2 linked regions of the Mytilus edulis genome follow. The protein of the gene in region 2 purifies or fractionates together with the protein of the main gene of each other region. This does not show direct contact. Links are inferred from orthologs where the notes say so. Each region holds a gene or a part of one and is shown on either strand. Other genes may lie near its edges.

What was found.
Region 1: the proteins of zinc finger MYM-type protein 3-like (region 2) and ubiquilin-1-like purify together in Drosophila melanogaster (affinity purification with western blotting; 3 studies listed by BioGRID, with this or other methods). This does not show direct contact. The link is inferred for Mytilus edulis from reciprocal best matches to the Drosophila melanogaster genes woc and Ubqn.

What each region holds. Positions count from the first base shown.
Region 1 is NC_092347.1:34,496,930-34,500,865, reverse strand, and holds the start of ubiquilin-1-like, read right to left. Parts: upstream 2,647-3,936; 5' UTR 2,584-2,646; coding exon 2,476-2,583; intron 1-2,475.
Region 2 is NC_092353.1:42,651,576-42,655,511, reverse strand, and holds the start of zinc finger MYM-type protein 3-like, read left to right. Parts: upstream 1-1,743; 5' UTR 1,744-1,969; coding exon 1,970-2,014; intron 2,015-3,556; coding exon 3,557-3,629; intron 3,630-3,936.

The sequences.
Region 1 (3,936 bases), on a different chromosome or scaffold from region 2:
GTTCAAGGTTTTATCTTTCAGATTATATAATAAAATTCTACTGTTCGCGATAAAAATTTCACTGTTCGGGGGTGTTGAAATTAGTGGGGGTTATTAAAATATGATACTTAAAGAAGTGATTTTTGGGAAGGAAATTGAAGTATGATACTTAAACAAGTGATTTTTATGTCATTATCCTAGATTCAGTACAAGGTCATCACCTGAAATGACCTGGTCATCCTAGACAACACAGATGTTGGTTCTGATAAGTTTAGAAACATAATTAGTCCCTGGATCATTAGTGTTCTATATTTAAAGCTACAGTAAAATTAAATCACTTCTTCTAGTGATTATTTTGTACTACTTAAATAGGTGATTATTAAAGAAAGACAACTCTTTCTTTCAACCTTTATGGAAATAATGTTACTTGAATCAGTGATTTAGAAAATCACTCATTTAAGTAAGTCCCCTGACTGGTAAAATCATAATCGAGATTGCCGTATGACTGAGGGAGGGTGACCATCCTTTTAGATTTAAATTTCCCAAATATTATGTGCAGTATAAAATAAAACTTTTTCACCCGTTTGCTCAACATGTGTTGGAAATTTCTATGCATACATTTTTGTCACGTGGTGATGGAAGTCACATGACAGATTCATCTGAAAACAGTTTCCCGGAACTGGCCTATTGGGACAAGTGGTCAAAATCATGTAGTTTAGATATATAAAATTAAGATGTTGTATGATTGCCAACAAGACAACTCCCTACAAGAGACCAAAATGACTACATGGTAGTACTCGCCAACTGTACAAAATGTATGCTGTTGTAAAGGTGACACAACCACAAATGGGACACTAACAAACACTAACAACCAAGGCCTCACTGGTATATACATTTGTAACTGAAACAACATGTGGACGAAATGATTAATGACCGTAAAGTCTCAAAGCAATACATGTGACCTCAACATACTTTTAATTTAATTACAACTCTTGGTTTAGTGCATAATAACTCTGAAACATTTGAAGATTTTGACGAATCTGTCATGTGACTTCCATCACCACGTGACAAAAATGTATGCATAGAAATTTCCAACATATGTTGAGCAAACAGGTGAAAATATTTTCTTTTATACTGCACAAAATATTAGGGAAATTAAAATCTAAATGGATGGTCAGGTCACCCTCCCTCAGTCATACGGCAATCACGATTATGTACTTACGGAACATTAATTATTTCTATACTACCCTACAGAATAACGATTATGAAAGTGCTGGAAACTTTAAATACATTGTAGAGCAGGGATACAGGCGCGCCTTTTATCTGGTAAATGATGTCATAAAAGCGTGCAAAATTGACGTTATTTTCCGGTGAAAGACATGATTCCAGAAATGACCTATTAAGATAAGTACATACCTGTCAACCTCTGAAAATGAAAAGTCAGGTCATGACCTGCATTGAGAAAAAAAATCTCAGGTCATAACGCGTACGACATTTTGCGGGCTCAATTGAAGAACAAAAATATGTTTACATATAATTTATATAGTCAATATGTATATGAAACAGTTAGAACATGTATACAAGTTTATTTCATACTATTGTTATATTCCATAGTAGCAGACTTGGCATTCTTTAAAAGAACTGCACTTGGTTTCAGTTCATAGCAATGCAAATGTGTATTCATTTTACAAGAAAGAAGAGCACACAGTGTATCCTTATTAAGATCAGCCCTACACTCTGTAGCTATTTTCTTTACTAAAGAAAATGCCCTCTCACTGTCTGCATTGCTGTTTGGCAAAACCAGTAATGTTTTAGCAAGTTTTGACAAAACAAAAAATCTTGGCTTGTTTTCAACTACCACTTTGTTATTTTCAACTGAAAGGGCCCTCTTTACTATTTGGGTGGTTTTAGTTTTTCCACAGGAATAACCTGAAGCTATTTCACAGCTCAGGTAAACATTCCTACATTTTGACTTTTGGTTACATTGAAAAAGACCGATAAAACCGAAGGTCGCATTACTTCTAAATACCGGAAACAATTCCGGTCAGAAATCCGGGTGAAACGGGTAATGTTAGAAATTCCCGGGACCCGCCGGGTAAAGAAAAACTCCCGGGTGAGAGGTGAAAATAACGGGTGTCACCCGCAAAAAACGGGTGAGTTGACAGGTATGTAAGTAGGTAATGATTTTATTTATACAAAATTAAAAGGGTTGTACAGTTTGTATATTGACCCCTCACTGCTTCAGCTTCCAACCCTGGGTTTAGGGTGTGATTCGTTTTAGAAGTCTCTCCCAAGTATGATTAATATATAGGGAGCTGAGCAATGCAAATGTCTAGTAAAAGTGATAAGCTGATGTAAGCAATTGAGTAGATTTAATCTGTTAATAGAACATTCTAGATAACGAATTATTGACATATGCAGTGAGAGAAGTAATCTTATGTATGGATTGTAGAGAGGTTTCAGGGATATTCTATAACTTCCTAGCGATAGATTTACCTCCTTAACATGAGCATTAGTATCTATTTCCATTTCCTGCTTTTCTTTTGGTGTTTTAACCGTGATTTTCATGGTTTTACGAGACTCATCCATTCGTTCGTCCGCCATAATGTCTGTATTTTGACCTGTCACTATTCTGATTCAATGACGCGTTTGATGCATACTAAAGTTGGTGTGTTCTATAAAACAGCTATGGTGTCTTTGTATTAGGGGCTTTCGAGACGTTTCGGCCATACACCAGTTCGGCCATGGTCGTATTGGTTCATACATTATTTCTCAATGTTTCATCAAGGATTTGTATAGTAACTATACAAATCCTTGGTTTTATTAATGTTGAGAAAAAAGAAAATAAAGGATAGCACAAGATTCGAGTAAAGTACAAAACATCTATTAAATGCTTAATGATCGAGAAACGATTGATTTGAAAAAAGAAATTAGTGTATTGTTTTGCTTCAAAATATTATAATAATAAAGTTGGAGCAAATAGATAATCAATTCCACTACAGATACGGACGATTGTATATCTAATTAGATAATTGGATTAGCTAGGTGATAAACTAAGTGTCAGAAGTGATTGACCGAGGCGCGTGTCTAAGATAATAAACCAATCCGCGGCAACTTGTAATTTGATTTGATCAGTCCAAAACAAGATTGTCAATTTTGTGTGCTTATATAATTTTCTGAAGAATTCAGGGTCGTAATTTATTTGGAGAAGTTTTTGAAATATTTGAAGTATATTTTTAATAAAACTTGATTAATGAAGATTTATCAAATTTTACTAACGCAAATGATATGTTTCTTGGTACCATTTAGCCGTTTATGCACCCTTACCACTTTGACTCATTGAATTTTTGACAATTATTTGATTATAATGGATTTTTTAAAATAACGTTTGTTTACAAAGATGCTTTATATAGTTCAAGAAAAACACAAAAATACGTTTAAAAGATAAATGAATTCTTAATCTGTCTTTAAATGGGGTTATCCATAATTGTCAACCATTTACCAAAGTGCACAAAACATACACTTTTTCAGACCCCCCACCCTCCCTCAAAAAGTGTACATCAACCATTTTCAGATTTCAAGACAAAAATCAATCATTTTTAAATAAAAAGAAGATCCTGCCTATTATAGTTTAGTTAATGTAAACATTTGCATTGAAAATAAACTGAACCATATCTGACTGTTTTATTTTTATTTAAAAAAAAAAACGTACGGTAATAATGTTGATTTTTAAACCCCTCCCCAAGTGTACGTTTTGTACACTCTGGAAAATGGTTAACAATTATGGATGACCCCTAACATTCAACCTCTAAAAAGGTCGAATAGAAATTAACCTATTTACAAATTTTATTTCGGCAGTATGTTTTCAGAAAGCTATCTCTGCATTCTTTTAAGCAATCCACCAAAATCGCATGTCACATTGCATTTTTCGCCTGTCAAGACGATATTTTTTGTAAA
Region 2 (3,936 bases):
CAGTTTATCTTTGTGCAGGGACTTTCTATAATAAGTATGATCAAGTATAGACTGTCACGGTTCTGTGTTATACAGTGGCGGATCCAGAACTTTTCCTAAGGGGGGGGGGGGGGGGGGGGTGACTGACCTAATGGGGGGCCCGCTCCAGTCATGCTTCAATGATTCCCTATATAATCAACCAAATTTTCCCGCGAAAGGGGGTCCCCCTCCCTGGATCCGCCTATGATTCCAAGGACGTATATTAGATGTTAGTTATACGTCCTTTAATAGTGGTAATTTTTGTATATAATTATTCAGTTTTCTATTAAATATTTGCTAACAGTGTTGATAAAATGTTTTAAAATTTATGAACAAACTAATTCTTTAATAAAAGCATCTGGGAGTAATATTATTTGTGAAGACCCAGAAAAAATCTTGAAAATGATATTATCAAATTATGGGGAAGTAACTCTTGATAATTTTTTCGATTTAAAGGGCAGGTCGCAAGCAAACGCTTTGTTTTGGTTCGATTTCGAAAGTGAGGCTATTCGCCAGCCATTCATCATTTAAATGAGTTACCGCACTTTGAGATGCGAATTCAGAGAAAATATTAACAAGTTGAAATTACAACATGTAATGAAAATTACTTTAAACCATAGAAAAGAAGAAATTTGATTTTTAAACCGGAAGTGCTTTTGCGTTGTTGAAGTATACTGATATTTCTATATGAAGATAACTTCAAATGCAAAATATTCTTAGCTTGAAAACGTGTTTGTTTTGAGAAAAATCATCGGAAATTTGGATTAAAGTGTGTTTGAAATTTCCTGATGTTTTGTCAACGGGGGACACATATTCGCCGTTTTTACACATCTATTTAAAACCAAATATCTGTAGCTTTAAACAATATTTATTAAATAAATTTCATTATAAATGAATAGCAGACATTTTGAAAGTGTATAAAACTGAAATTTAGGGCAATCAGTCAAAGAATTACTAAGATATTCTTCTTTGAAATCTTTTCTTCATTCAGGAAATTGGCTGAAAATCGTTGTCCGTTTTTCGGTCCATTCCTGTAAGTGCTGAATGTTGGTCTCATTTTCAAAAATAATCATATTTGTTATAAAAATATAATTTACCGGCATATATTTCTTCCATTTCTACCATCCTTTGAAGTTTTTGCACCTCAAAATCTTAAAACGGCGAAATTGTGTCCACGGCGAATATGACTGAGCGCCCCACTCTAGTAGAAGTAGAAGCGAAGAAACAAATAATGATGTATAACACCATCATGTCAGTTTATCTTTGTGCAGGGACTTTCTATAATAAGTATGATCAAGTATAGACTGTCACGGTTCTGTGTTATACAGTGGCGGATCCAGAACTTTTCCTAAGGGGGGGGGGGGGGGTGACTGACCTAATGGGGGGCCCGCTCCAGTCATGCTTCAATGATTCCCTATATAATCAACCAAATTTTCCCGCGAAAGGGGGTCCCCCTCCCTGGATCCGCCTATGATTCCAAGGACGTATATTAGATGTTAGTTATACGTCCTTTAATAGTGGTAATTTTTGTATATAATTATTCAGTTTTCTATTAAATATTTGCTAACAGTGTTGATAAAATGTTTTAAAATTTATGAACAAACTAATTCTTTAATAAAAGCATCTGGGAGTAATATTATTTGTGAAGACCCAGAAAAAATCTTGAAAATGATATTATCAAATTATGGGGAAGTAACTCTTGATAATTTTTTCGATTTAAAGGGCAGGTCGCAAGCAAACGCTTTGTTTTGGTTCGATTTCGAAAGTGAGGCTATTCGCCAGCCATTCATCATTTAAATGAGTTACCGCACTTTGAGATGCGAATTCAGAGAAAATATTAACAAGTTGAAATTACAACATGTAATGAAAATTACTTTAAACCATAGAAAAGAAGAAATTTGATTTTTAAACCGGAAGTGCATAAAAAACCGCGACCAGAAGCGGCGTGGAGATGGACGAAGAGAGCGGAGAGCTATTGTCCCAGGACATAATAGAGGTTTTGTGTTATAATTTTCTTAAATTAAGCTTAATAATTAGTCCACATTATTTCAAGAAGGTCTATTTGAATGTCTGATTACACTTTTCTGTGCGTCCAGGTGGAATCAATGCGGACAGCGTGTATTTTCGAAATCGTTAAAGGGCGACAACTCCAGCGCGGCATATATTAGAAATTCAGAAAATAAACAAAAGATTAACAGGTGCTGCATAAAAAAAGTACATTATAAACTAATTTCATTATGTTGTTTCAACACAGTTTCAAGTTAAAAATTGACAGGCAAAAAGCTCCTGGTATCATGATAAATAAAAAAAAGAAGTGGACTACTTGGGGCACTACTGGATTAGTCCAAATAATTATGGCTATTATAAATTTTGATGCCTTCCACCGACAGACGGAGAAAGGCGTCCAAGAAAAAATTAAAATAGCCTTGCACGTAATAATTATTTGGACTGGCACTGGATCTGCTTACCATTACAGAGTATACACCTTATCTCTATTTGTCCGCCCTTTGACATTGCAAAGGTTCCCCGTATTATTTTTTTTAAGTACCAATAGAAAATATGTGACAACATAATGAAAGCAATTGTTGTGTGACGTCAATAAATGCTATTCTGTCCCGGTTGGCCGCTTCAACTATTGACGTCACACAACAATCACTTTCATTTATGGTTGTCTTTTTAGAAAACTGTACAGGTTGTCTTACTTATATCTGCCAACTGTCACTATTTCCCCCCTGGAGGTTCCCAAATTGAAATTTTGAAGAGCAATTTTGTCCACAATTATAAACAACCTGTACCGTTTTCATTAAAAAGACAACTAACATGACTCAGTCGCCAAAAAATTATGCCAAGTCGAAAAAATATGAAATGAAATTTACGCTTTTATTCCAAATATAGAATCACTGTGATCATAGATTATTTTCAATTGGATGTAAAGTTGTCCCCATTTATGTAAAATCATACAAGTTCCCAATAAAGTTGACATCACAATTTAAAGTAAGTTTTATTATCAATTAACATGATTAATGAAGAATAAGAGTAAGTAGAAGTTTGGCTTCACTTGACTTTGAACAATCTATTTCTGTAAATTCACCAATTCTTTCATGTAAATATATGCATCCAAGGTTATCCTGCGGTAAAATTTCATTTGCATGTACAACAATTTTATAAAACATCTATAAAAAAGAAGATGTGGTATGATTGCCAATGAGACAACTGTCCACAAGAGACCAAAATGCAAGGTTATCCTACAGTAAAATTTCATTCGCATGTACAACAATTTTATAAAACATATAAAAAAGAAGATGTGGTATGATTGCCAATAACAACTGTCCACAAGAGACCAAAATAACACAGACATTTACAACTATAATTCACTGTACCGCCTTCAACAATGAGCAAAGCCCATACCGCATAGTTAGCTTTAAAAGGCCCTGATATGACAATGTAAAACAATTCAAACGAGATAACTAGTGGCCTTATTTATATAAAAAATGAAAAAAATGTATGTTTATCAATTATGTATGTTATTTTCTTTCAGGAAACCAACACAAAACAGGATTCTGTTTCAACAGAGATTAATGGAGATCAGGAAAACTGTTCTGTGTCCAAAGGTAACCTATATGCTCAATATATATAGATAATAATATTATGATTTTTTTTCACTTATTTCTTTAATTGGTTTAATTTTATTAGGCCAAACAAGATTTATATGTGGCCTGTCTCCAGACAGTCTAAAATAGGGGAAGCAGCTGGTCAATCAATTTTGTTTTGCTTAACTGCAAATGTCTAAAAATTGTTAGGGTTAGGCATTGCAATTTATGGGAAGTTAATTTGTAAATGTAGGGAGACGGGAAACTGAACTATGTTTTGCCTAGGAAATCTACATCAAATTGTTTTCAATGAATTCTGGTAAAGAAG